3 linked regions of the Rhinolophus ferrumequinum genome follow. Each later gene encodes a partner of the first gene's protein in a complex. Links are inferred from orthologs where the notes say so. Each region holds a gene or a part of one and is shown in the gene's direction. Other genes may lie near its edges. The genes, in order: VPS51, VPS54 and STX6.

Region 1 (9,885 bases):
ACATACGAGGTTTCAACTCGGGCTCTTTGAGGCCCCTTCCTGCTTTGCCACCACCCGATCTTTGTAACTGTCCCCATGTCTGACACCTTCCGGTTTCCAGAACAGTCGGTGCCTCAGTTGGTTTGAGCGGCACGGTCACCCTTGTAGTGGCCAGGGCCAGGGATGTTCGTCCCCATGGCTCACTTGAGGAAATGAGGCTTGATGGTGGTGCTGGGGCCAGAAGACGAGTATCGTGATGAGGGCTCCTCGCCAGGCCGCGGGGCCCCCAGGGATTGGGGGCCTGATCTGACTTTCCCCTCGTCCCCCCAGGAGCCGGGCCGGGTCTCGTAAGCGGCCTCTGACCCTGCTCCAGCGGGCGGGGCTGCTGCTGCTGCTGGGGCTGCTGGGCTTCTTGGCCCTCCTTGTCCTCATGTCTCGCCTGGGCCGGGCTGCAGCTGACAGTGACCCCAACCTGGACCCACTCATGAACCCTCACATCCGTGTGGGGCCCTCCTGAGACCTTGCTTGTGTCTGGGCAAGCCTCGGAACTGGGGGCCTGAGGAGGGGACGTGGGACAGTCTGGGGGCCTTTCTCAGCTCCTCTCCCTCAGGCTTGAGACACTAAGATCCCAGGCCCAAAGCCGAATCTACCAGAATGGCTGCAGGCTGGGCCTGGGGTCCCTGCAGATAAGCGTTCGTCTTGATCTGCTTCCCCTGGGTCTCCGGCCTCCCACCCTCCCCGACCCATGCAGGAGCGGACAGGTGGAAATAAATGACAGACTTTATTAAAACACCCGAAGCTTCCTTTTCCTTCCACCTCAGCCCAGTCCCCAAGCTTCAGTGATTCTCCTCCCGGTACTGGAGGGCCAGAAATTCCAGGGACAGACGGTTGAAGAACATGGCTCCATTGAGCACTGGGTGGAGAGAACCCCCATCAGCCTTCCCTGCCCCCTCCACGTCTCGGGGTCCCAAAGCTCCCCATTCCGTCACTCACTCAGGACAGTCAGGGCAAAGTACCGAAGAAACTTGTCGTTTAGCATCTCAGCATAGAGCGACCCCATGGCAGCCCAGCAGATACTGATCACCTGGGAGAACTGTAGGCCCCATCCAGTGGGAGAGTGGCCCCCTGATACAACAGTGGGGTTTCCATCAGCCCCTGGGCCTCCGCCAACCAGCCCCTAAGCCCCTGCCACGGCCTACCATGAGGACCACGGTGTAGTGGAAGCTCATGCGGTCGTAGTGGTGGGTGAAGTAGAAGTTGTGCACGTCGCTGGCGAGGACGCTCAGGTGTATGAAGAAGAGCATCAGGGCAGCCACGGTGAGCATCATGCCTTGAGGGAAGAAGAGCACAGCAATGCGGTCCCGCCACCGCATCGTGGCAGCAGTACAGACTCAAGTCAGACAGTAGAGCTTGAGCAAGCCGACACTGCCCAGGAAAAGCACCTGACTCTACCGCTTCTAGAATGCACAGTTTGGAATAGCAGTGGGATTCTAAAAACAGGAGGACATTCAAGGGGACAAGATTCTAGAACACAGGCTGGAATTCTAGAACACAGGAGTGTTTCATGGGTGGTTGGGGCACTCGGACTTGTGCAGGAGTAGTGGGCTAAAGGTACAGATGCGTGGGAGCCTGTCATGTTGATGAAGGGACAGCGTTCCCTTCATCCCACCAGGTACACTTACCGTTTTCCCACTGAGTCCTCAACAGTTTTAACTACTGAGTTAAGACAGAGGACTTAGTGTGGGCCCACTACAGATGAAGAACGCGGGATCAGAAAAGTGTGTGGGGGAGGAGCATGTCTCAGGTCCACAGCAAGTCTTAGGCAGATGAGAGATTCGGACCCAGATGTGTACCTGAGGGCATTCCCAGGGGAGGGGAGGCCTGGGGTTGGATCACAAGCTCTAAGTATTTGCTCCAACCCCTATTGGGAAGGAACTAAGGGAAAGAAAGGGACAACAGATTCCCCACAGCTGTCCAAGGACTTTGCCATGCCCTCCTTAGGTGTGGCCCTGAGCAACTGGACTGTCCATCTTCTCCCCAGATGTTCTTTAAGGACCTGATGCTGACCAGCTTTCCCTCTCTGCCACTTCCCGGCACTCAGCATTTTCACACCCATCATCTTTGTCAACCAAGAGTCCCATGAGAAAGCTGGGGCCGGTGGCATAAATCCTGTTTTACACGCAAATTTGAGGTAGAGAGAGGGATTGTCAGCTCAAGCTTTCACAGCCAATGACTGGGGCCATTAGTCCTGAGGCTAAGATCCAGTTCTACCTGAGGCTGTGAAATGAGCAGGGACAGTTAGAAGCCGAGAAGAAAACATTTCCTCCACACATGCAAGGGGAAACCTCCAGGACTGGACTGTCAACAAAATAAGCCAGAAACATGGCCAGAAGTGGTGTGAAGGGACATGCAAGCTCCCAGAAACTAAAGTAGAAGAAGGAGGACTTGATGTTGAACTTGGCCGTCCCCACTGCCTCTTACCTGACTGCCCCAGAAGTTAGTTAGGTCCCAGGTCAGGCCAAGACGCAAATTCTTCTGTTTTGAAGCAGTAGGGTTAGAGCCTGACCTCACCATCCATGTTTACTACCCGGAATCATTAATCACCACAGCCTCTCAAACCCCATCCTAACACATTAAAGGGGTGATGCCCCAATGCACACCTATGATCCCACTGTTGAAATGCACAGCTCAGTTCTCATTTGAATACAAATTAACTTTTATATGTTAGGGCTCCTAGTTCAATGCCATTTAAGCAATCACCCAAGTAGTATATGAATATGTTCTTATAAAAGATTTGTGACCAGCCTGGTGGCTCAGGTGGTTGGAGCACCGTGCTTCTAACTCCGAGGTCGCTGGTTTGATTCCCACATGGGAATCTGAGCTGCGCCCTCTGCAGCTAAGATTATGAATAAACTGCTCTCCCTGGAGCTGCCCTGCTGCGAACAGTCGGAGGTCGTTGTAAGGTGCAGCAAGGCTGCTGTGTGCTACCAGGAGCTGGCCTGCGGCCAGCGTGAGTGGCCAGACCAGCGACCAACTGCCTCAGCTGGGGGGAGTGCAAGGCTCATAATACCAGCATGGGCCAAGGAGCTGGGTCCTACACGACTAGACTGAGAAACAACTGGCTTGGACAGGAGTCGGGAGGGGGGAGGCGGAAGAAGGGGGGAAAAAGATTTGTATACTACACCAGCATACAGAGGAAAATGTAACAGTCCTCCAGAGGTAACCCCTTCAACAGACTGGCGAGTGGGCATCATTTTGGTCCTCTATTGATGTAACTTCATACATGTACATGCACGTAGGAGTACACATGCATAACATAAAAAACATTTTTAAAAGCCACCCATATGTATTGTCAAAGTACAACTTTAAAAATGTTATAAACATCTCAATGTAGAATGAATATGTAACTAAGATGCGTTAACTCATTAGAGAGGGGGTTTCTCCTCAGGTGGTAAATCATCCTGAAGAGCTGGTTATTGACAGGCATTTAAAGAGGAATGTTAGAATGTGGTTATAGGTTAGATACAAAACGTTGATGTTCCGGGCAGCCAGATGGCACAGTTGGTTAGAGCACAGTTCTCAGCAACAAGGTTACTGGTTCAATTCCCACATGGGATGGTGGGCTGCATCCCCTGCAACTAAAGATTGAAAACAGCGATTTAGAGCTGAACTGCGCCCTCCACAACTAGATTGAAGGATAATTACTTGGAGCTGATGGGCCCTGGAGAAACACAGTCCCCCAATATTCCCCAATAAAATTTAAAAACAAACAAAAAAACAGGATGCCCTACAGGGCAATTAATAAACATTTTAGTAAAAATAATAACTTTGAGGGTAATTTTTTTTTACTAGACATGTTTTGCATCTCTCCTGGAAAATACTTGTAATTTCAGAGTCTGAATGCTGAATAGTAAATAACAAAATCAAACAAATGTCCATTCCTTTGGGTAATTAATCCTTGGGTGGGCTTGTGAAATAATGGCCCAGTATGACATTGGAAGGACATACTACACTCTTGGTCTTATTTCCAAATTTTGGATAATTTTTCTTAATATTCTGCAATTTTAAAAAATGTTTATAGGCCTCTTGGAATAAATCTAAATCTTTATACTCTTCTTCATTATTTTAAGTTTATAGCTTCATAGGCTGAAATCTTCATTTTTTTTAAACATCCTCTGAATATCCCATATATTCAGGGATCAGCAGGCTTTTTCTGTAAAGAACCAAACAGTAACTGTTTTGGGTTTTGCCAGCCATATGGTCGCTGTTGCAACTACTGAACCCCACCATTGTAGAGAGAAAGCAGGTATGGATCATGTATAAACAAATGGGCATGGCTGTGTTCAAATAAAACTATGGACACTAAAATATCTCATACAATTTCACATAATTTTCATATGATTTTATGAAAATAATTTCTAAATGAAGATATAGTTGACATGTAACATTAGATGCAGGTGTACAACATGATTCAATATATATATTTCAAAATGATCACAAGTCTAGTTATCATCCATCACCAGTTATATTTTTTCTTGTGATCAAAACTTTTGAGATCTACTCTATACGAATTTCATATAATTTTCACGTGTCATGAAATGTCATTCTTATTTTTTTCAACCATTTAAATACGAAAAAAATCATTCATAGTTCACAGGCCGTATGGAAAGGTGGTGGAATGTGTTTGGCCTGCAGGACCCTGACAAATAAGGCTGTTTCCGTTCTAACCCCACCCCCTCCCAGCCCATCATAAGTAATGTTTCAAGGACAACGCTGATAAAGTCGTTTTCTCCGTTCAAACTCAGCAGGTCTCAGTTTGAACTCCAAGTCATTCTGTCCTCTTGAGCCCTTCCCCTTGGCGAACACCTTTGTCCAAATCAGAAACCCAACTCCTCACTCCACATCCTGTCAGTCATTTAAGATCAGGAAGTCTGTCTTCTAAACACGGAATATTTAAGTGCACCAGAACGAATTGTGGACTTAAAAAAAAAAGAAGCAGCATCTAGGTTTGGGGGACGCCCAGAGTCTTAAAATGCACCACAGGTAATTAACGAAGGCATTTCTGATGTATGTCACAGGACGAGGCCTGGAGACACACTGCGCTAGAGGCACCATACGGCGTACTGTACCTGCATTTAATCCTCCGCAGCCCCCCTTGAAGTATGCACCCCAATTTTAGGAACTAAGGTGGAAACTGAGCCGCTGCCCAGGTATCCAGGCAGTAGGAGGATGCCAGGCACACGCTCTCTGGCTGTACAGCTCGCGCCCCGTCCGCTGCCTCTAGGGACATATTCCGAGGGCCCTTGCCTGTGGGGTGCGGGGGTGCGGGGTTGGGAGCAGCGACCCACCCTCCCTCAGCCAAGGTAGCAACCCGACCAGTTCCATAAAATCCTTCCACGTGAGAAGCTGGGGGAAACCAGAGCTCTCCCGGAACCTCTTCGCTTGGGGAGGAAAGATACGGGGGAACTCTAGTCTCAAAGTACCAACATCGGCCGGGGGACGTCGCACCTGATGGACTGCCTCGTTTCAACAACAACTTTATGGTTCCCGGAAGTGCCTCCTCCCTGTCCCCTTCCCTGCCTCACGCCGGTGGGCTGCAGTTAGAGCGATGGCTGCAGCAGCCACTGGGCCAGGCCCGGGGTCTGGACCTGGGGACTCCCCGGAGGGGCCTGAGGCGGAGGCTCCGGAGCGTCGGCGAAAGGCGCACGGAATGCTGAAGCTTTACTACGGCCTCTCGGAGGGGGAGGCGCCGGGGCCAGACCCCCTGGACCCGACAGACCTCAATGGGGCGCACTTCGACCCGGAAATGTATCTGGACAAGGTATGTGTGTGTGTGTGTGTGTGTGTGTGTGTGTGTGTGTGAGGGAATCAGGCCCCCGATATATTGCACTCTCAGATCATGCCTCCGACTTTGTTGTGGTGAAGGAAGCAGTGGTTTATAAGAGGAAGACGACCCTCGGCCTAGCAGTTGGGACAGAGCTGAAGTCTAAGGGGGCGTGGTCAGATTTGGACTGGCCTGAGGAGGCGGAGGTCTCCTGGTGTTCTGCTAGGCCCAGCATAGGGAGCCCGGCCCAGGCGCTGACAGGCACAGCACTGGGCCTTGGCTGAGGATTTCAATGCTGACAAACTCCAAATAGGGTCCCTCAAACCTAGTCACTCCTGAGCCTTATAGACTCCATTTGGGGATTCCTGACGGGGGCTGGGATCAGGGTTTTCTTGCACCGCAAGCCTTCCAATGAGGGGCAAGGCTGGGGGACATGAGTATCCTCTAACTTGAACACTAACCACCCAATTTCCTCCAGCTGCGTAGAGAGTGCCCCCTGGCCCAGCTGATGGACAGTGAGACGGACATGGTGCGGCAAATCAGGGCTCTAGACAGCGACATGCAGACCCTGGTCTATGAGAACTACAACAAGTTCATCTCAGCCACAGGTGATTCCCACAGGGACACGCCCTTCACAGTCCCACCTCCCCCAGTTCCTCCCCATGTGTTGGGGAAACTAGCTGGGGATTTAGAGGGAGGAGACCCAGATTCCCTTCCTGCCTTGACATTCATCCACTCTCACCTCTCTCTCAGATCTTTTGTGGTCATATTACTATAGAGGTAATAGCTATTGTCACAGGGTTGTTTTAAGGACCAAAGGGCAGAAAGGACAAATGAAATTTTGAAACAAATGTATCTGAAATACTTAGAATCCCTGACCCTAAGGATGCCTTAGTAAGGGATAGTTTCTTTCATTAGTGGTAGCTTTCTTCTCTGTCCAGGTGTGTCTTGAGAATGGGCTTGCCCCTTCCTTTCTTCCTTTCTTCCCTCTCCTCCCCCTCCCTCCCTCCCTCTTTTTTTAATTAAGCAAAGAGAGAATACTTATGACATTAAGAAACACAAAGATCATAAAGAGCTCTTTTTCCTTCTGTCCCTTTTATTCTCTCTTCAGGACATTGTTAGACAATGTTTAACTGTCGTCCACACTAGCTTCTGTCTTGTGTTGGTGAAATTCACTACTCAGGCTTTTGTAGTAATGTTGGCCCCACATGTACCGTACTTAGTTCTGGAGGCAGATCCCAGGGGTCTACCTGCAGTCCATGGGAATGTTCCATGAACCTCTGTGGAGTGCATTCTGATGTCTCTTACTCTGCTAGTGTCGCAGTGGTTGGTGTGGAAACACATTGTCATTGTTCTTTTATCTGATTTGAAGCCGGTTCGGTGAGTAGGTGCCTTTCTATTTGCCAATACCAGAATCAAACAGCAAGAAGTCCTACTTTCTGTGCTGAAAAATTTCTCACAGGAATTATGCAAACATTACATTTTTTCATTTGTTAGAATATGTGAAGGGAAGGAAGATCACACAAAGGAAACAAGCATTTGGGGAGGTTTGAGGACAATCAGGAGCCTGGGTGTCTCAGAAGCTAAATGAAGAAAGCATTCCAAAAAATGGAATTGATAAGCTTGGGCAAAATATGAGTGCATGGGGTGCTTCTCCGTGGTGCGAGGGAGGGGGCATTCTTCAAATTTCTTTGTTACTGAAAACAGGTACTACTGTAGGTCTTCCTAAAAGTGAACTTGGGGAGAGCTGGGGATACCTGGATTTGGTCTTCGTCCGCTGTCCCTGGCACATAGCTCCTAACACCCCTTGGGATTTCCTGTATAAAAGCCAGAGTGGCCTCTTTTGTTACAATACTTAGTTTTGTTCCAAGTTCCTGAAAAAGCTCCAGATCAATAAAGGTGAAATGGATGTCTTTTGTTATTCATATAGTCGGCCTCTTCCCACCACTCCTGCGTTTATGTTAATGAGATGATTTTTGGAAAGCCCCAAGGTAATCCAAGGATGGGGGCAGGTTGCCAGGGGAACCAACCACTTGATCAGAGGGTTGAACTTTCAGCCCCACCCCCTAGACTTCCCAGGAAGTGAGAGAGGCTGGCGATTGCGTTCAGTCACCAGTGTTCAGTGACTTGATGAATCCTGCCTGTGTAGTGAAGCCCCCATAAAAACCAAAGGACAGGGTGTGGAGAGTTTCCAGGTTGGGGAACACGCGGCGGTTGGGAGAGTGGCATGCCCAGAGAGCATGGAAGCTCCGCCCCTTCCCACTTACCTTGCCCCCTTCCATATGGCTGTTCCTGAGTGGTATCCCTTTGTTATAACCTAGTGATCTAGTAAGCAAACTATTATTCCTGAGTTCTGTGAGATGTTCTAGCAAATTAATTGAACCTGAGGAAGGGGTCATGGGAACTTCCGATTTATAGCTGGTCAGTCAGAAGCTGGTCAGTCAGTGACAACCTGGAGTTGCAGTTGACATCTGAATTGCGGGGCAGGGTCGTCCTGTGGGACTGTGAGGTCTAGTGCTAACTCCAGGTAGATAGTGTCAGAATTAAGTTAAACTGTAGTCGCAGGAATTGCTGGATGTGTGGAAAATTCACACTGGTGTCAGATGTGAACTAGTATTGCAGTGGAGTATTAAGAGTACAGAAGACAAACAGGAGTGTGTGTTTTCTCTGTAGACACCAAAAATTCACATAGCGAAAGAAAAAAAATAGATTGGATTTTATCAGAATTAAAACCTTGTGCTTCAAAGGACACTGTCAAGAAAATGATAGCACAGCCCACAGAATGGGAGGAAATGTTTACAAAACAAATTTCTAAGGGTCTAATGTCCAGAATATATAATGAACTTTTACAACTCAGAACTAAAAAGAACCCTATTTAAAAATGAGCGAAGGATTCAAATACACATTTCTCCAAAGAAGATGTATAAATGATCAATGAGTACGTGACAAGATGCTCTCAATGTTGGTGGTTACTAGAGAAATGCAAATCAAAACCACAGTGAGATTTCACTTTACACCCACTAGGTTCGATAAAGCCGGTTCGGTGAGTAGGTGCCTTTCTATTTGCCAATAGAAAGCATCCTGCCTGTGTAGTGAAGGATGTAGTGTAGTGAATTTCTTCACATCTTCACCACTGTTTGCTATATTGCAGTTTTGGGTCACTAAGGTGACCCCTCATATGTTACTGGTGGGAATGCAAAACGGTGCCCCCCGAAAACAGTTTGGCCATTTCTCAGAAAGCTAAGCTCGGAGTCATCATATGGCCCAGCAGTTGTCCTAGGAATATGCTGAAGAGGATTGCAAAATGTATGTTCGTAAAAGACTTGTACACAAACATTTATAGAAGCATTATTCACAATAGCCAAAAAGTAGAAGCAACCCACGTGGTCACTAACTGACGGGTAGATAAATATGGTAGATCTGTATTTGTCATAAAAAGGCATGACATACTGAAACGTGCTACAATGCAGATGAACCTCAAAAACAGGGTAAGTGAAAGAAGCCAGACCCAGAAAGCAGTATATTGTGTAATTCCATTTATGTTAAATGTACAGAATAGGCGAGTCCATAGAGACAGAAAATAGATTAATGGTTTCCAGGGACTGAGGCATGGCAGCAATAGGAGGTAACTACTAAGGGATATTGAGGTTTCTTTTGGGGGTCAGGAAAAGTTCTAGAATTGATAGCGACGTTGGTTGTACAACTTTGTGGTTAAGCTAAATGTACTAAAAACCACTGAATTTTCCGATACATCCATTATATCCCATTAAAAAACAAAGAACTAGCAGGTATCAAGCCAGGTTTGGTTTGTAGGCTATAGTTCTCTGACCCCTGGCTAGACATTGAATTTGTTTATGGATGAATGCATTTTTTTCATCTGTTTCCCAATTGGAAAGGTCCCAAAGGCTGTGCAGTGAAAAGCCTCGTCCCCTTCCTTTCCCCGGCAAAGACAAAAGCGATCTGTGACAGTGAGCTTTACTGACATGATCAGACCTACAGAGAAGTACACAGGTCTTAAGTGGACAGACAGCTGCATGAATTTCCCAAATGGAACCCCCGTCTGCACTCAGCATGACCAGCAA
Region 2 (9,832 bases), on another chromosome or scaffold:
TATATCAGAGATCGTATATCTTTGGGTGACTGTTAAAAAATGCAAAGATTTGGGCCTTCATTCAATTCTCTGAATCAGAGGCTGTGGATTTGAGGCTTAAGAACTTGCATTTTAAATAAGCTGACCAGTTGATTCTAATGTACAACAAAATTTAAGAACCACTGTCTTTCAAGTTTTAGCAGAAAGCTGAACAGCTGATCAGTGGTTCTTAACCTTGGATGGACAATGGAACCATATGGAAAACTTGAAAGAAACACTGATTTCTGGGTCCTATTCCCACGGATTTTTATTTAATTGGCCTGTGACATATATAGCCTGCTCATTGAGAACCACTGACAAGGTGCTTTAATAAATATTTATCTCACTGTACTTGTCATCCACTTTGTGTGGAAAGAGAAGTGGCCAGAGGTGGCCATGAGCAGTGGCAAAGGGCGTGGCCAACTGGTCAGGGAATAGAAGAAGACAGATTGGAAATTCAGGAGCGAGGAGATCTGGAGTGGGATGGCCATATGGGAGTGGGTATAAATAAGGTATGAAAAATGCGTGTTAACACCCACCAGAGAGCATCTCTACCACCAAAGAGGCACTAAACAACCAACAGACAAAATGCTTGTTGACTTCAGTCAGCCTCCATCATCAGCTTCTAGTGCCAATATAGTAGACTATAAACAGAGTAGCTATGGTGTCAGGGTGGAGGCTATGCAAGGGCCGCAAATCATGGGCTCTCTGGGGGGTCAGCTGCAGTGCTGGTCGAAGCTGTACCACAGCACCAGCTTTCCCTCTGTCCAGTCCTGCCTACGTCCTTTCCCCTCCACAGTGCTGATCTCAAGAGCACCTCCTAATAAACTTCCTGCATGACGATCTTCTTCTCAGAGTCTACTTCCCACGGAACTCAACTTGCAACAACTGACAATGCCAAGTGTTGATGACAATGTGGAACAATTATGATTCTCCTATACCATATGTGGGAGTGTAACTCGGTACAGACATTTTAGAAAATAGAAAGAATCGACTAAAACTGAGCATAAGCATACCCTATCACCCAGGGATACTACTCCTAGGTATTTACACAAGAGAAATGCTGACATGTGGGCAGCAAAAGACTTGTACAAAAATGATCACAGCAGTACTATTTGCAATAGCCAGAATTGGAAACACCCCAAATAGCCATCAATAGAATGGTTAAAAATCTACAAAATTTTTATACAATGAAATACTCCATAGTAATGAGAACAAACTACTGCTATGCATGACATGGATAAATCTTACAAGCACACTGTTGAATGAAGTAAGCCAGACACCAAGCAATATGATGTAATTTATATCTGTTAAGTTTGTAATGTAATTCTATGTATATAAAAGTCAAAAATAGGCAAAACTAATTAAAGCTGATAGTGGTTAACTTTGACGGTACAGTAGTGATGGGGTTCAGGACACATACCCCAAAAGATGGCACCCTGGTGTATTGACTACTTTAAGCTGAAGGTGTTTGAGCAAATGAAGAGCAGGAAGGTCACTCTGACCTTCCCACCCTCACCGACCCCACCCTTCTCCTCTGAAGCAGGTCATAAAACCCTCATGTGAGAGGTGCTCTCCCTATCCCCAGAGGAAAGGAGCATTCTTGTCTGGGAAGTTAAAGGGAAGACAAGAAGAATCCTACAAATAGGCCTTACTAACTTCCCCCAGTTTAGGACAATTACCTCATACTCCTTACCCTCTCCTGTTCCTCCATGACTGTCCACTCTTCCTCAAACCTAGCATAAAATACTCAGGTCTTCATCTCCTTATGAAGGCTTCTGTGTCACATAAAACTTACGCTGAAAAAAATTTCTGTGCTTTTCTCCTGTTAATCTGCCTTTGTCAATTTAACTTTCAGACCCAGCCAGGGAACTATAAGACGGTTGAGGAAAGCTTTTTCCTCCCCTATAGTAGTAACCTAGAGAGGACAAAAAGGGGGGCTCCTGGAATATTGGTAACATTCTATTTCTTGATATAAGATGTAGTTACATGAGTTTTTTCATTTTATGAAAATTAATTGAGCCATAAATTTTAATATGTATATGTCATACATCAATAAATACTTTTTACTTGTTAGAGAAACATACTAATATATTCTTGAGTGAACTAATATGATACCTGAGTTTTTGTTTTTTTAGAGAACTTCAGACAAATAATTAGATGTGGGATAGATGAAACAAAAATATAGAATGTTAATAATTTTTAAACTGTGATAGATACCTGAAAGTTCATTTTTCTATTCTCTTTACTTTGGTGTATTTGAATACTTTTATAACAAAAACAAAATTTTTCCTCCCTTTCTTCCGCCCCCATTCCAGTTCAACTGGAGCAGGTTGAAGCTCACTGGCCCATGTGGGAATTGAACCAGCGACTTCAGCATTAGGAGCATGGAGCTCCAACCACCTGAGCCACCAGGCCGGCCCCTAAAAATATATTTTTAAATCATGGGTGAAATTTTAATCTTAGGGTGATGAAGGACGTAAAACCCAAAAGTCATAAATGAAAAAAATGATGATGGCTTCAACATCCATTCCAGCTCCCTTCCTCCCTGCCTTCCATTGTAAATGCTGTAAAGTAAAATGCTGTCATTGCTGGTTCCCTGGCACTGAGCCTGTCCCTGTGACCTAATGCTGGTTACTGAGAGCAAGGCAGAAATCATACATTATAGCTATCTACATAAGCAATACAAATCAAAATATCAATGAGATATCATCTATTTTTTTTTCACCTATTAGATTGGTAAAGATCAAACAGTTTGTTAATACCAAGTGTTGTTGGCTATTTGAGGACACACATGTTCCCCTACACAACTGCTGGAAATGTAAGTTCATATACAATCTTTTTGAGTGGTAATTTGGAAATATCTATTAAAATTCTCCTGAAAGCTAGAGCAATATTTGAGTGGTAAGGATGGGGATAGAAAGGAGGCAGTCGGTGTAAGAGACTAAAGTCACACTTGATTACAGTCATGTGTCGAAGAATGACGGGGATAAGTTCTGAGAAATGTGCTGTTATCTGGTGAACAACATAGAGTGCACTTACACAAAGCTAGATGGTAGAGTCTACTACACACTTGCCTATATGATGTAGCCTATTGCTCCCAGGCTACCAAAACAACATGAGATTAAATCAAGCACAAGGGGAAATGATGAGATCAAGACAGATGGTGAACACAAGATGTATGAGGCTACTGCTGGTGTAACACTGCATACTGTTTTACAGTAAACTTATTTTTTAATAAGCAGAAAAAGTACATTCTAAAATAATGATAAAAATTAGTATAGTAAATACATAAACCAGTAATATAGTCATTGATTATCATTATCAAGTATTAGGTACTGTGCGTAATTGTATGTGTTACAATTTATATGATTGACTGGCAGCCCGGTAGGTTTGTTTACATCAGCATCACCACAAACATGAGTAATGTACTGCGCTATGACATTACAACAGCTGTGAGGTCACTGGATGATAGCAATTTTTCAGCTCCATTATAATCTTATGGGATCACCATAATACAGGTGGTCCCTTGTTGACCGAAATGTCATTATGCAGTGCATGGCTATAATTAGATGGCTAATTAAATGTGAAGGAAAGAGTCCAAAATTTCTAGAGACATTAGTAGAAATAAACAGTCTGTTTTTTTTTTTTTTTTGCACATATTGGGGACAAAGCTCTAAACACACTAGCTATCATCATCATCATCAGAACAGATTTGACATATTGATCACTTTGCTCACCAATGCTATTTGCTTCCAACCTTACTTGTTGTAACAGCTATGATGGTGTTCTTCCAGCAGAATCTTCAGTGTTAGCCTGCAAGTTCTTGGGTTCTAATCACCTGAAGTTTGGTTTTGTTGAGTTTGTCATATGTGTGATTACTCAGTTAAAAATATATCTAATTTCAGCCTTTTTCTCCATGCCCTCTTTGCTATTGTGAATACCACAATACCACTTTGAAAATACCACATGAAATCATAATAACTTCTCTGGTATTTCCATTAATATTAAACTTTATTTTAAATTCTTTTGTTCCTGTATTGTTCAACCAGATTACAAGGAGGAACCGATCAATTTTCACATGCCCTCGGTAATTGCAATTTTCAGTACCTCAATCATGTCCCTTTGTAGTCTGGTCTCATTTGCAGACTAAACACTTTGAGTCAGTTGCTGCAGTGCAACTTGAAACCTGATCATTGAAGAAGCCTGCAATTTAGCAGAAAACAAGGCACACACCAGGATCTTCTGCTCCAGCTGCACATTGAAGATGCTGGTCTTTTTTTTCTTTTTGAAAATGCCCTTACATTGCTAGTTAGTTTAGTTGCCCTAATTCTTTCCTTAAACAATTTTGCAAAGTAGTTTCTTAAGGAATATTATACTTACCTCTAACTCCTAGGCAGCTGGCTTATGACATATCACTGCTTAACCACAACTTGTGGGAAATGACATGTGCTGGTTAAATGAAATTCCTGGTTAAATTTCTTTTTCTATCTCATCACGTGATGCGAATTTTGAGTTGCTTCGTTTCTGGAAATGATGCTACTACTGAGAGGATACATGCTGCTAGTTGCTGTTTTGAACACACCCCTGATAATATTTTTTGTTGTCATTTGTCTCTTTCTCCTAGAGGCAAATCCTTTTTCTCTGTCAATCTCTCTCTCTCTCTCTCTCACTCTCTCTCTCTCCCTCCCCCCCCTCGTAATTACAGGTGCCAGTTAATACCAGTTAATTGGGTTCTGGTTAACTTGAGGTTTTACAGTTAACAGACCAAATTACCTCAAGCTCTAGAAATTCCCTTATTTTTCCCCAGAATACATCCCCTTATTTTTCTTCTTGTCCTTTTAAACTAAAACATATTATTCACAAAGCTATATTTTCAAACTGTTTGTGAAACCACATTGTTAAAAGCTATCAAAAGCCTATTCTGTACTTCAATTTGCCAACTTGATAACTGGTGGTTCTGAATGTGTAAGCTTCCTTTGAGTATCAAGAGAGACTCAGACTATGGGATTTGAGGAGGATATGGGATATCCTTGCAGATTCAATAATGATTTGCACAGTCCTAAGCCCTAGACAGTGAGGAAAATGGGTGGCATACCAAAAAGGCAACTATCATCATTAATTCATCCAACAATTTCTTTCTTAAGTCTGCCATGTACAAGTCACTGTACTAGGGGCCATGGAGAGGACAAGCCAAGGTGTAATCGTATGATATGGAAACTAAAGGTGCATTAATAGCTTGAACAGGAACTAGTACGTCAAAAATGCCACATCCATAGTTTAGGAAATAAATGATATGACAATTGAGAGGAGGAGGATGTCACTTCTGACTAAATGATAAGGGAAATGTTATGTAAAAGCTATTACATCTGAGCTGATCCTTGAAGAAGGGATGATTTTGGAAACAGAGTTGGCAGAACCTACCTAAACAGAGGCAGGAAAACCCAAGTCTGTTCAGGGGCTGTGAGGAAAGATGCACAGTGGTGAGTAATGACAGAGAGGCTTAAAAAGGCAGGTAGAATCTAATTAGGAAACACTCTTGCAAGCTAAAGTCTGAATCTTATTCCAAACAGATGAACATTTTTGACCAAGGCAGTGGCCAAGAGCTCAGACTTTGGCTCAAATAGAGTGAAGCTCAAATCCTGATTCTACTCCCTGTGTGTGATGTGGAGCAGGTCACTTAGCTCATTAAGTTGCAGATTAACAATATCTACCTCACATGGCTTTTATCAGAATTAAATGCAATTGGGATATGAAGTTCTCAGTCATTCAGAAAACATTTATTGACCCTCTACCATATCTATCCCAAACAATGAGCTTTGTACTGCTGATACAGACATAAAGGCCGAAACCAGGTCTGAAAGGAAGGCATGAAGCAATAGAAAAGACAGATAAGTAAACAGAAAATTACAATACTGTGTAAGTGAGCACACAGAGGAACTGAGTAACTCAGTAAAGGGGATGGTAAAGAAAGCTTACCAGAGGAGGCAGCCCCTGAGGTACCGAAAGGGGTCTCTACAGGTGGGTAGAAATAGAACTTATTTTCCAAGGTTTGATTATGTTTATTAATCTTTTTGTGACATTGTAGTTTCTAGCAGAAACAAGCTTTTAAAACTCTAAATGGATTTTTGTTATTATTTATGTTGTTTGGTTGGTTGTTTTTGGCTTATTTCAAATCCAGAGAAAAAGAGATGGTGTCGGGGAGGATGCCCTATTTCTTAGCTGACAAAAGGGAAGAAAAGAGTCCGTTTGCAACCACGTTAGCAGTGGAAGAAGTAGGCAAGCCAAATCGCTGAAACATATGGAATACAATGAAAGACTTTAAAAGGAACTTGACCTAATATGACGTAGCAAATCTGGGTTTTCACTTAGAGGAGACTCATTGTGGACATTTGCTTTTCAGTCCACATTTATTTTCTCTTCTGACATGGGGCCCCAGTTTTGTTTTTTTTCTTTTTCTTTTTCTGAAGAACCACATCTTTCCTCATTCTTATTTAATATGTTCTGGTTTCAGGGTTGACTGGATTCAGGCCTGGCCAATCAGAGCCTCATCCTGGCCTCAATGGTTGGGATTGTGCATCATCTAATCAGAGTCAGGGAGAGGCAATCTGGGACTTCTGCTGAGCCTGTAGGTATGCCTTGCCTACTGGTTTGAACACGGGAAGTTGTAGACTAGGAGCTGCTGGAAGCCATCTTCCTATCACTTCCCACCACTTGAAATCTGCTATTGAAGCCAGCCAATAAGAAGGAGAGCAGTAGAATATAAAGCTGTGATCCTCACAGTAGAATATAAAGCCCATGAGGGCAGGAAGCTTGGTTTTATTTTTAAATCTTTTTTATTGATATGTTATTTACATATGAAAAAATGCTCAAAATAAATGTTTGAGTAAAAAATTATTACAAAGTGAATAGATATATTTAACTATCACCCAGATCAAGAAATCAAACATTACCCTTCTCATACCCCTTCTAATTACTACCTCCTCTTTCCTCTTGACTATTAACATCATAGTTTTGAATTTTTGAATTTTATGTAAATGGAATTATATAGTATATATTTTTGTATGTCTGGCTTCTGTCACTCACCATTATTGTAAATATCTTTGATGAACATACACATATATTTCTATTGGCGATATTTCCAAGAGCAGAATGGCTAGGTCATAGAGTATATGCATATTCAACTTTAGAAGATATTGCCAAATTATGTTCCAAAGTGATCTTGTGGATGTGTAGTACATCATTTTGCACATAAGGCTGAAACCTTTTCATATGGCCATTTGGATTTCTTTTTCTATGAAATGCTTGTTAAGCGTCTGACCCATTTTTCTATTGAATTATCTATCTTTTCTGTTTTGATTTGTTGGAGGTTTTAACATTTTTTTTATCTTTATCTATTATACTAATACCATACTATTGTCATTTTATAATAAACCTTGGTAACTGGTAGAGTATGTCCTCCTATCTTGTTCTTTTTATGAGTGTTTGGCTATTCTCGGCACTTTGCATTTCCATATAAAGTTGACCCTTGAACATGCAGGGGTTAAGGGAGCCACCTCCAGTGCAGTTGTAAATCCATGTATAACCCTTGACTCCCCCAAATTTAACTACCCCCAGTTATTCCCTCAATATCGGCAAGGGATTTGTTCTGGGACCCCTCATGGATACCAAAATCTGCGGATGCTCAAGTCCCTTATATAAAATAATGTAGATGGATACATAGTCAGCCTTCTATTTCCAATCATGGATCAAAAACAGTAGTTATTTAGTGAAAAAAAATATTCATATATAAGTGGACCTGCACAGTTCAAATCCATGTTGTTCAAGGGTCAACTGTACATTTTAGAGTCAGGTTGCTATTTTTCCACATATAAACCTGTTGTGATTGCACTGAATCTGTAAATTAATTTGGAGAGATTGACATATTTACAACATTGAAACTTCTAATACATGAATAATGCATATATTTCCATTTATTTAGTTTATCTTCAATTTATCTCAATAAAGTTCTATAGTTTTCTTTGTAGAAGGGTCTTGCATTCTTTCATTAGATTTATTCCTCAGTATTTGATATTTTTGTGCAATTGCAAATGGTAAAAAATTTTAAAGTTTTCTGTCTGTTGCTGATATATATTAATAGAAAAACAATTAAATTTTTGTACGTTGACCTTACATATTGGTTTTCTACTGGTGTATAACAAATTATCACAAACTTATCATCTTGGAAAACAAATTTATTATCTCACAGTTCCCATGAGTCAGTTGTCTGGATACAAGTTAGCTGGGTCATCTGTTCAGAGTCTCACTAGGCTGAAATCAAGGTGTCAGGCAGGCCTACGATCTCATCTAGACTGTGGGTCCTCTTTTAAGCCCACTGATTATTGGTGAGATTCAGTTCCTTGGAATTATAGGACTGAAGTTCCTCTTTCATGCTGGCTGTCATCCAGTAGCCACTCTCAGCTACTAGAGGGCAAGGCAATTTCCTGTCATGTAATCCTCTCTGAAACATGGCATTTTGTTTCTTCAAGGCCAACAGGAAACCATTTCTCTTCAAATATTTTGATTTCTGTCATCTCTGACCTCTAAACTCTCTTTTAAAAAGTCTCACCTGATTAGGTAGGGCCACTAGGGTGATCTCTCTTGATTAACTCCGTGGGTCTTAGTTACATCTACAAAATTCCTTCACTTTTGCCATACACCATAATCTAATCATGAGAGTGAAAACTCATATTCACAAGTCCACACACACTTAAGGGGAGGGGATTATATAGGGCATGGACACCAGGGGTCTGGGATCTTGGGGGACAACTTAGAATTCTACCTACCACACCGTGTATCCAGTAATCGAACTGGTTAATTAATTCTAGTAATCTAGAGATTCATTGAGATTTCCTAAATATATAGTTATGTTATCTAAATATAATGTTTTATTTCTTCCCAATTCTTATATTGTTAAAATGTCTTTTTCTTAACTTATTGCACTGTCCAGAAACTCCAGTACAATGCTGAAAAGAAGTAGTGAAAGTGGGCTTGCTTCTTTCATATCATTGTATCACTAGTGCTTAAAATAGAGCATGAGACATAGTAGTTTTCAACAAAAATTGTTAAATGAATAAATGGATGACAGCAAAGCTGAGAGATGGGGAAAATTGGTTCCTCCTTGATCATTTGATGTCAATCAAAAGTTTTCAGTGATATTAAATCTCCTGACACACAGAATAACATAAGCGAACAAATATTTGGGAGAAAATTAATTATTATGCTCAGTGGAGTTACTTGGTTTTGGTTTGTTTGTTTCTGAAGAGCACTTCTGGGAATTAAAACATGTTCAAATATCTACCATATTAAGAAAATCTTCCCTCACATCCACTTCCACCTACCACTCTATCTAGCCCCCCTTTTTTTTTTTTTTAACAACTAAGCTTCTAGAAACACTTTACTCATCCTTTGTTCTTCTCCATAAAACAGCCCTCAACTCATCGAAATCTGCTTCCAGTTCTACTATCTACCAAATTTGTCTTGCTAGGATCAGTAGTGACCTTCATGCTGCTGAATCTAATGGGCAGCATGCATCTTATTTGCTCTGGTTGACTACTCCTAGCTGTTTCCAAAAAAATTAGTTCCTTTGTCTTCTGTACCCTCAAAGTCTCATGGCTTTCCTGTTATTTCTCTGCCTCCTCTTTCTAGTCTCCCCTGGTTGCTGTTCCTCCTCTCAGAACCTAGTCTATTAACCAGAGGGATATGGTGACCACCTAGAATCAGAATGGTACCCATTGACACATATCAGTAAGCCAGTTTAATCATAAAGGTAAAA
Region 3 (10,435 bases), on another chromosome or scaffold:
TATTTCTGACTTAAATGGTGGGGCTTTTCTGGATTAAATTTCTGTAGAAGCAGGTCCAATGTCTGTCTTGTTCACTGTCATATGCTCCAAAGTGCCTGGCACGTGGTAGGCCATCCACCAACCTCTGTGTAAGGAATACACAGATGATTTGAAAGAGCTCCTCGCTGTCATTTGACGAGTCCCTGCCTACAGAGGTGGCTGAGATTGAGTTCTAGACACTGCCACCCCCCGAGTCCCCCACCGTAGCTGGAAGAGTGGTCGCGCAGAGAAGCCCGGTGCTTCCAGGCCATGGGCCTTCTCATGGTTTGGGGGCAACGGAAGGCACTGCTCCCCCCGTGCCACGGGCCCCTGCGCCACGAAGAACTTCTCCTCTGCTTAGCTGGTGTCTCCTCCATCCTCCGGTCCACGCGTCCAGAACCGCGCTTTTCTCTTCCCGGGATTTTTTGTTACTGGTCGGGCTTGTGGTGAGGAAGAAACACGTCGGACCCGGGGGTCGATGCCGCGGCGCAAGGCCCCCGAAACTCGTCGCGGGACTCACTGAGCTAGTGCAGCGCAGACACAGAGGTCAAAGCAAGGGTCTGAGCAGGAAAGAAGGGGGCGATGCTGAGAAGGACAGGGGGTTCCCAGGAGGTTCTTCCCAGCGTGGCTTCCGCCCTCTCAGAAGGTGGGTGACACACAGGGACCGCAGGGGGAACTGTGCAGCGAGTCCGCCGCTCCACCAAGTCCCGGGTTTAATAAACACACTTCTCCGCCCTGGCTCCGTCCACATGTCACCGCACGTTTCCGGAGGCCAAGCTCTGCCGCCTACGCCGCCTCAGCGGGGGCGTTCGGGGCAAAGGGAACTCGGGATACTCACGGGCAACGCTGTGCTTCACCGTTAACACAATAAGGAGACGTAACAGGAGCACCACCAGCCCCTCTAAAGTCCTTTCCTTTCAGATTCTTTTAACCAAAACACCGACAGATCCCTGCGGATCTTTCAAGAGCCTCGACTCCACCCGCTCCTCAGAGATTCGGCGACGGCGCGACGCTCAGGGCTCTCTCCCAATAAAATAGGAGCTGTGTGCGGTGTCAGCAGTTGCTAGGTAGAATAGAGAGAGACGAAAGTGCTGACTGGCCTTCAGGATAACTTCTAACCCATTGCTGTTTTCAGACACTGCTTGCTTTTTTTTTTTTTTTTTTTTTTTTGGTGTGCCTCTTGGCCCTGTTCCCAACCTTTTTTTTTTTTTAAAGCTATTATTAAATTATTTTTCAATTATAGTTGACATACAATACTATATTAGTTTCAGGTGGTCCTGTTCCCAACTTTTAAACATCTGTGGAGCAGAGCTATGCGCAAGGCGCAGGGAACACAAAGGTTAATCACCCCTGGTCCCTCACGGAGCTCAAAAGGAAAGAAGCCTTTGCTTCTTTCTCCCGGGGTGCACGAGAAAGATTCACACAAGGTTCCCAGGATTTGGAACTCCTTGCTCTGACTTCCTACGATAGTATAGTTCATATGACTGATGTGACGTGGCATCTATCGCTCTTAGACTGTCTTGTCATTTTTAGCTTAGGTCTATCCTCCAGCCCAATAAGCTCCAAAAATGTTTGTTGAATAAAGGAGAGCAAGTAAAAGGCCTAAACGAAGATTCCGAGAGGCAGACACTGGCTTGCTTAATTAGCAATCCCGGGGTCAAGCTGCGACTACACTGTCATTAGGAAGAGCATGACAAGTTGGGAAACAGTAGCTTAAGTTTGTCCAGGGAGCTGGAGGACAGGCCCAGACAAGAAAAAGGAAGTGGAGGTTAGTGGGAGAGATGAGTGGAGGCAAGGCCATGAGGAAGGCCTTGGTTCAGGGACCTAGGTTTGCATCACAAGGTCCTTATAAGAGGCAGGCAAAAGTGTCAGAATCAGGGAAGATGTGACCTTGGAAGCAAGGTGGGAGTCGTGCCATTGCTGGAAGGGAGCCAAGGAATGCAGACAGCCTCTAGAACAGGATGGAGAAGGAACAGCTTCTTCCCACAAGCATGCAACCCTGCCAACACTTTGATTTTAGCCTGTGAGACCCACTTTTGGACTTCTGACCTCCGAGCTATAAGAGAATAAATTTGTGTTGTTTAGGCCGCTAAGTTTGTGGTAATTTGTTATTGCAGCAATAAGAGACTTGTCACTTGTTGGGATTTCACAGTACTATTATCACATACACATAATCACCAGTAGTCCTCTTGAGCCATCCCAAGTAAACCTCTAATTTAAGAAAAGACAGTGGGTCTGCCATGTAACTTCAGTTCAAGCCTCCTCGCCCTGCCGTCTGAACTTTAAGTTAAATTCTAAAGCCTGCCCTATGGAGAAATTCTGGAGCCACTTCTGAAGGTTATGTATGTATGTTGCTCAGCACAATGTCTGCTACATACGTAGTAAGTAATTGTTAACAATCATTGTTACTGTTGTTATTCACTACTTCACCACCAGAGTGTGGTTGTTCCTTCCCTGCACACCAACAAATTCATAGAGATCGTAAAGAGCATAACTGTCCTCCTACCCTGGTTCAAATTCACTGTTTCGTCAAGAATTTCACTGAATTCCAATAACATATTTTAACTTTTAATACTTGCCAATATCCATTCATTTATACATTTCTAACTTGCCTGACTCTAAAATTAATCATTTAAAACTGCTAACTTTTGTTGTAGTTTCACATACGTGGCCACAACTTTCTCACTTCTCTTATTTTTTATTTTTATGTTTTTATTTTTTGTATTTCTGATGATCCAGGTAAACATTTCATTATGCTAAACTTTAAATACATTTCTTTTTTTCTATGTATAAAAATGAACAGAGTTGAAATGATATCATATATACAATTTTGTCTTGCAATCTTCCATACATGTCATTACATACTTCAAAATAACGTTTCTAATGACCATCAAATGGATTTTTCATAAACTCTTAATCACTTTCTAGTGTTGGATATATAAGTTGACTAGAATTCCTCCTTATTTTAAACCAGTGTGTAGAGGGTAAGGATAGAGGTGCTGGTAGCAACCAAGGAGAGGGAAGGAAACATAACCAGTGTGTGTGGGTCGGTGTGTGGATGGACACTTTCTGTAGCTGGGGCTGGGAAACGCAGACAGCCACGGCTGGATCAGTGGAAGCCAATGTGAGCGAATGTTTCCTGGAGTATTCCAGAGCACGCATATGTATTTCAGGGTTTTTAAAAGACTGAGATAATGATGAAGAGTATAATACCTAACGTCTATGCAACACTTTTCTCCCTTACTCAGTGTTATTTCAAAAAGGATGCAGGGTGAACTCAGCAACAACAAAATCTGAAACAACCCAATTAAAAAAAGAGCAAAAACTTCAATACATTTCTCCACAGAAGATATACAAATGTTCAATAAGCCCATGAAAAGATGCTTGCATTTTAACTATAGCTTCCTTGTTCCCGGGGCAGTGGAGGCCAATGTCTTGTTTGGGTTGAGAGAGGGTGAAGGAGGGTGACATTAAAGGGACACCCCATACCCTCCCACACACATTTCATATCTCAACCCTCCAGTATGTCTGTTGCTGGTACTTTTACAAATCCCTTATTATGAGAATTCTCCAAGCCTCTGTCCTCTATCTTCTATGCTTCTGCTTTGTTTCTGACCTCTCATTTGTGGTTTAACTAATAAGCTCATGGAATAGATAACCAGAGGGTATGCTACGCATTGAGGTAAAATAATATTCTCCCCTCCCTCCAGAAGCTTCTAGTTCAGTGAGAAAAACCAACGTGCTAGCAGCTAATTTACATCCACCCTCCATCTAATTCTCCTCCTGTGTTCTCTTTCCTGGTGATTGGGACTAACAACTACCTACGTACTTCCAACTCCAGAAAGGCCTGCAAGTCTTCCTCCCTCTGCTTTCAGCAACCCCCTAACACCCTGAACCAATCAGTCACCAAGTCCACTGACTTTGCCTTTAACGTATTCTCAAAAGCATCCCTCCTCTCCATCCTATTTGCCATGAGCCTATCTCAAGACACCCTCATCTCTCCTCCTCTAGACCATGACCTCCCAGTTGACCTCCCAGTCACCACAGTGTCTGTCTCAAATGCCAGTCTGACCCTGCCAATTCCCTCAGCTGCCATGATCTGTAGGAGAGTGTCTACAGTTCTTAACATCATAATCAAGGGCCCTGATCATCTGACCTTGTCAGACTCCAGCCTTAGCGCCTCTTGTCACCATCCTGTTCCTTACATGCCAGCATCACCCTCTGCCGTGGCTCCCCCACAGGCTGCAATGCAGTCTCCTGGCTGCCTCCAGTCATTGCTTAGAAACAACCCCCCCCAAATTGGTATCTTGTCTTTGTGTTTCTATGGCAACCTGTGCCCTTCTCTCATTGTGTGTAACTGCCTGTTTTTCTCACCGGTCTGAGAGTTCTTTCACAGTGAGGACCAAGGCTGTTCTTCTCTGTGTCTTCAGCACCTAGCACATAGTAAGAGCACACAGCGCGTGCCAGGCACTGTGCTAAGCACTTTTCACACATCAATTCATTGAATCCTCATGACACCCTATGCAAAAGGCATTATTATGGTGTCTACTTCAGGACAGTGAGAGAGGAAGCTCAAGACAGAACAGGAAGTAGCAGAATTGGGATTTGAACTCGGGCAATCTGGCTCCAAGTGTGGCTCGTAGTCACTATGCTGATCTGCCCCTCAATTTACATGTGTTTGTTGAAGGAATGAAAGATGATGATCCTTTTCCACCTTCCCATCTCAATATGTCCATAGCCAAATAAACAGTTCTCTCCCGATAGTTTCTTTTCCCCACTGGTCCTCCAGGTCTCCGAGAAGCCTGCACTTACACCTGTCTCCTCCCTAACCCCATTCAATCTCTCATGATGTCTAGGTGTTTTGTTTTGTTTTTCCTTGGAAACATCTGTCAGATTCATCCTGGTCTGGTCCTCATCCCTTCAGACCAGGTGAGCACAGCAGCTTCCGGACTGGTTTCCCTGATTTCACTACCTTACTCCGTTGGGGTCTTGGGCGTGTACCTGCATTTTCATTTAACCTTCATAACAGCCCATGAAGTAAATATTCTTCTTCACCTCTTATAGATGAGGAACTGAATAATAGAACCCTGGTTCAAACAGGGTTTGTCTGGCTCAAAGGACTCTTCCAACTCCAAAAAGATTGGTGACATTGGGCAAGTCACATAACCTCCAAGAGTCTGAATTCTCATTTGTAAAATGGGGATACGAACAGTAATTACCTCATTGTGCGAGCAACTGAGATGACAGCACAGTGCCTGACACACAGTAACTGCTCAGTGATTATCAGCAATTGAAATTAACAACTCACATAGCACATCTAGCATAAGAGTTGGCTAATTGTTCTGACCAAAATGCTTTGGGAAGAGTTCTTGAACCATAGCTGAGAGCAGGTTGCCATACTTGGCCCCTTCTTTGTCCCTCAAAGGTGCTCTCTCCTGGGAAGCACCATATGCCGTATGAAAAAATTACCTTACTAATTACTTGCAAAATACACAGCAAAAGAAAATACACGCCAGTCTGGTTAAAGGTGGACAGAACCTGGGGCTCTGCCCTGTCCAGGCTGTGTGACTACAGGAAATCTTGAAACCGTTCTGAACTTTTCTCTTCTATAAAATGGGGATAAGAATACCTCGTCCCCTACACGATACATTGAGATAATGCATAAACAGCCTTTATCCCGTTGCTGGACACATAGTAAGACCTAAAGGAATTGTGCAACATTGTCATAATTAGATCATGTACATGAGCACGCTTTACGGTAAGTCGAGGACGAGATGGATTTATATGTTATCAAAAGCAAGTATTAAAAGTACGTAGAGAAAAGTTATAAGGATTGTGCAATTCAGGTACTACCTCACATCCTGAAAACCTACCTGTCTTCCTCGGAGAGAAAAGGTGGCTCCTCCCCTTGAATCCTGAGGGGCGGGTTGAGAGAAGACCAGCCCCTCTCCTTCGCTCCTAGAGCCCCGCCTCCAGGGTCCAGCGACGCTTGCCTAGGCTCCGCCCACGACGGGGCGGGGGCGGGGGCAGGTCCTGGTCACGTGAGCTCGGGTGCGGAAGTGGTGCAGCGGGCTGTGTTCGTGGTTGGCCGAGGCTGTGGGCGGGGGCGGGGTCAGGCCGGCCGGACCAGCGGGAGGAGCTGGGGGAGGAGGCAGCTGCGGGGGCCGGCGCCGGAGTCTGGGATTCGATCTGCGATCCCACCGAGTGCTGGACCAGCCGCGGGCTGCATCACCCCGGCCTGCGCGCGCCCGCTGCTCTGGGATCCCCAGGCTGAGGCGCCGGCGGCTGCGGGAGGCCCGTCGGGTGGGCGGAGGGAGGATCGGAGGGCGCGGGCGCCCCGTGCGTGGAGCGGGCGTGAGGCGGCTGGGGGCCGGGACGCCATGTCCATGGAGGACCCCTTCTTTGTGGTGAAAGGGTGAGTGTCGCCGAGAGTTCCACTGAAGGAGGAGGTGGCGATGCTGCTTGCCCGCACCTCCCCGCTCTCCTTGCTGGAGGGGGAGGGGAGACAAGTTGAGGCTGGGGAGGGGATTGTGGGGACGGCTTAGCCTTCAGAGCCTTGACCAAGAGTCCAGAGACATCCCCTCCCCGTCTACCTGCACTGTGAAATCCGTGCCTCCAACCTGGGGAGGGGGTCCCCTTTGGCCTGTGCGCTGCGGTGTAACTTATTTGGGGGTCGAGGAGTTCAGCAGCTCTGCAGGTGGGTAGAAAGACGCGGGTCCCAGCTCTAGTGGAGCATGAGGCCCTGCTTCGAAGGAGGGAAAACAGCATCTGGGCAGGAAAAGGGAAATGGCCCTCCTGAGCTTTGTAGTTGGTGTTGACGGGGGTGAGCTCCCATTGTCCATTGAGATCGGAGCGCTGGCCGGCAGACTGGTGGGACCACAACCGGCCCGGAGGCGTCCAGGCACGTTTGCAGGCTGGGAGGCTGGGGAGGATAGCTCCGGAAGACAGCTCAATTCAGTGGGGGAGTTTTTATTGAGTAATGGGAGGGGAGGAAAGCAATCGTTCATACTCAGTGATGATGTTGGAAGGAAAACAAAATGAAATCAGCCAAACTAAACTTCCCTCGGCTTCCTATTAGCACCGGGATTTTCCCACAGTGCGAAAGGAAACGAGTGCTTTCTTTTCAACTCCCTGATTTCATCCAGGCTATTTGACAGGTTTCCCTACTTGTTTTTCCCTTTGAGCTGTCCTGACTCCATCTTTGATTGTTGGATTGTTTGGCGATAGAAACTTTAATAGCACTTTGTTACTGTATCGGTTTTGTAGCCATTAAACAAATGCAAGAAAGATGGATTCTTACGTTGTTACCACTTGTCAACTTTATGTTTTAAATGTCAAACATAAATTTGAGAACCACAAAGTTCCTAGATGATCAATACTGAAAATCATAAAGGGTCCCTTTGCTTTCAAATAGCTGCTGCTTACTTCCTATTTGGGGAGTGGTGAAAGCTGACCAGGTACCTGGGTGTTTATTTATTTTTGTAAGGGTTCTTAGAAAATTTAAATGGTGCTTTAGGTGAAATACTTTATTATCTATGATACAGTAAATATATTTATACGTTTCTTAATGTTTCCCTAAAAAGGTTTTTCTTCACCTTACTTTAATTGTTTCCCCAGTCTTGATATGGTTTCTTCTTTATAGCCTTCGTTATAGAACTTCTGTTCAGCTAGACTTCAGGTGGTTCTGCAGGTTGATTGTTCTATAATTTAGGTGTAATTTTAATGTGGTCACGGAAGGGGGCAAGCACAGCATTTATCTACTCCACCATCTTGGATCCCCCTTCGACCTCACTGTCCTTTAACGTAGGTGGGAAAATGCCGAATTGTAGATTTTTTAGTAATATGTGGCTCTCTACCCGGAAAATGTGTTATTTGTTAGAATCGATTTAGGGATTAACTTTTAAATGTTAAAACTGTGTGTTTTCCCCCTGAATGAAAGTTGCAAAGGTTATCTCTGGCCATGGAGACCAGAGAGAATCAGAAAAATTTTGTTTGCTTGATTTTTAATAGAATTTGTGAAAATGCTAAATTGCTGTGCCATCTGGACTTTTTTTTTTTTTTCCCTGAGAGTATGCAAGACAGTCTGTGCTTTCTCACTGATTAGCTATCACTGCTGTATTGGAACATTGGCCTGGAGTCTTGGTTGATTTTGACATCATTTTATTGCCCTTCACGTATCTGAAGGAAATGAGACTCTCAATATCTTCTGCTGTACAAAGGTAAATTTAGCCACATACAGTCTGTCAGACTGTATGTGTGACAGACTACTCGAGGAGCCTTGCACCTCTATTTATTAAACGTATTGAAAACACATCACACGATGTAGAAAAATTAAAGACACCTAACTGTGGCCCTTAGCCTAGGAGCTGATAGTCTAAACTGAGAAATAACTGCCCACAAAAGCAAGTGGAAATGATTGAGGACTGAGGGGAATGCTAGAGAAGATGGGTGACCCAGGAGTTTGGAGCAAGGTGACTCATTAGGGATGAGTAATGATTGGAAAAGCTTTTGGAGGTAGTAGTAAATCTTGAATCAGGTTTTGAAGATGGGTAGAATTTATATAATTCAGGCCTGTGTCTCATCTGGACTCTTACCAGAGTCTCTAATTGGTCTTCCTGCTCCCAGTCTCTTTCCTCTCATCTGCCCTGGGTTCTGTTGGATCAGTGTTATACAAAATATAATGTGAGCCATATATGCCATTCTACATTTCCTAGTAGCCACATTAAACAGCAAGAAGAAATAGGTGAAATTAATTTTAATGTCATCCTTAACTTAATAGATTCAAAATATTTTAACATATGATTAATATACAGATTAGTAATGAGATATTTTACTTTTTAGTACGACGTCTTCAAAACCTGGTATATATTTTGCACTTATGGTACATCTCAATTTGGATGTGAAATTTTCATCAGAAATACTTGATCTGTGTTTATTAAACTTATAGTTGAAAAGGAGATTCATATACCCAAATTGTTCCCAACATTGTTAAACATTTTCCGGTAACTGAATTGCATATCAGTTTTTAAAGTTTAATTTAAATTATAGTTTTAGTTCTTCAGTCACACTAGCAAATTTCCAGCGTTCAGTAGGCACATGTGGCTTCACAGCTCCATGTGGGTAGCACAGGAGTAAGTTTCTGGACTCTAAGAAGGGTTTCCCTACTTACCGTCACTTAGTGGCTGCCAGCTCCCTACAAAATAAAGTCCAAACACTTCATGGCCTGCATGAGTCAGCCCTCCTCTCCCTCCTCGGACTCTGCCTGGCCACAGCTCAGAGCCCAGCAGTGCCTGCCTCAGTGCAGTGAACTTGACCACGGTCCTGGAAGCTCTCAGTCCCCAGGCACCCACTCTACGCAGCCATTCACCGCGGTATTTCCACTGCAGTGTAATTCAGACCTATCCTGAGCCTCCTGGCTCTGCTGTCACCTCTGTCCCTCATCCATCCCTTAAGTGTAGCTGCTCTAGTTGGTCCTCGTGCGTGTTCTCGCGGGGTGAGCGCCATAGTCCCCATTCCCGCAGGTGCTCCCTGGGTGTGTGCACACCTGCTCCCCAGTCACTCTAAGCCAACTCTCTCCTGAGCGCTTTTCTCTTTTCCAGTCATTATTCCGTTTCCCACCCTGTGGCGTGCATCTCCGCCCCTTCTCTTTTTCTTCTCCTTCCTTCTTCCTCCCAACACCTGACCCACGCATTCATCCTCCTCCTAGCCCTCCTCACTCCTGCCTCGGCGCTCTCTGCTTCAGTCCCAGGACCACGTGGTCATTGTGGCCAATCCGTGCCACCCCGGGGATCTCTCTGGAACCTTCTCTAATGCTCTAGTTCATATCCTTGTCCTCTCCCACCTGGACTCGTATAAGCAGCTTCTGCAGCGAGCATCACACTGTTACCAGATAAGGCCACAGAGACACGCTCAGGTCATTGTCCTTTCAGAATCCTTCATTCCAAAGTACTTACTGAGAGCCGAGGGCACAGGAGCGAGCAAACAACATGCCTGTCCTTAGGGGGCTCACGTTCCAGGGACACGCAGCGTACAGAGGAACCGAACACGGCGTGTCAGGTGCTGATGGGTTCTGTGAGGAGAAGTAAGAAAACGTGTCTTCTGGGGGCAGTGTTTCCTTTTATGTGACTTTGGGAGGCGGTGAGGTTTGGTGTAAGAACTGAGCTTGGGTAATCAGGCTAATCCAAGGTTGGAATCTCAGTTCTATCGATTATTTGGTGTAATTTTTGGCAAGTTAATTATCCTCTTGGAACCCGTTTTCTTACCTACAAACTTGGCTTAATAATGCCTACTTTATTGGTCATTAGGATTACACGCATTAATACATTTAATACATAATACATGCGTAAATTGCCTTCCTCAGTTTGGGGCACATATTAATTGTTCAATAAACATTCTGTATGTTTTCATCCAAATAGGC

Evidence for each region.
Region 2: VPS51 (region 1) and VPS54 share a complex: the UniProt entries of both Homo sapiens proteins name them as parts of the golgi-associated retrograde protein (GARP) complex. The link is inferred for Rhinolophus ferrumequinum from reciprocal best matches to the Homo sapiens genes VPS51 and VPS54.
Region 3: the proteins of VPS51 (region 1) and STX6 are in contact, whole or in part, in a crystal structure (PDB 4J2C), measured with the Homo sapiens proteins. The link is inferred for Rhinolophus ferrumequinum from reciprocal best matches to the Homo sapiens genes VPS51 and STX6. Residues at the interface, in NP_037397.2 of Homo sapiens: Ala33, His34, Met36, Leu37, Leu39, Tyr40, Tyr41, Gly42, Leu43; in NP_005810.1 of Homo sapiens: Met3, Glu4, Asp5, Pro6, Phe7, Val9, Val10, Glu13, Trp59, Asp60, Asp63, Leu64, Glu66, Thr67, Ile70, Val71, Phe78, Arg88.

The regions. Positions count from the first base shown.
Region 1 is NC_046294.1:6,509,584-6,519,468, reverse strand, and holds the start of VPS51 (vacuolar protein sorting-associated protein 51 homolog), read left to right. Parts: upstream 1-5,466; 5' UTR 5,467-5,587; coding exon 5,588-5,800; intron 5,801-6,281; coding exon 6,282-6,411; intron 6,412-9,885. Other genes in the region: ZFPL1 (zinc finger protein-like 1), read left to right, coding at 310-496; cation channel sperm-associated auxiliary subunit TMEM262, read right to left, coding at 586-892, 1,005-1,072, 1,179-1,352. UniProt on the Homo sapiens protein: Acts as a component of the GARP complex that is involved in retrograde transport from early and late endosomes to the trans-Golgi network (TGN).
Region 2 is NC_046296.1:25,817,563-25,827,394, forward strand, and holds the start of VPS54 (vacuolar protein sorting-associated protein 54), read left to right. Parts: upstream 1-5,930; 5' UTR 5,931-6,039; intron 6,040-9,832. UniProt on the Homo sapiens protein: Acts as a component of the GARP complex that is involved in retrograde transport from early and late endosomes to the trans-Golgi network (TGN).
Region 3 is NC_046305.1:13,348,722-13,359,156, reverse strand, and holds the start of STX6 (syntaxin-6), read left to right. Parts: upstream 1-6,171; 5' UTR 6,172-6,398; coding exon 6,399-6,433; intron 6,434-10,435. UniProt on the Homo sapiens protein: SNARE promoting movement of transport vesicles to target membranes. Targets endosomes to the trans-Golgi network, and may therefore function in retrograde trafficking.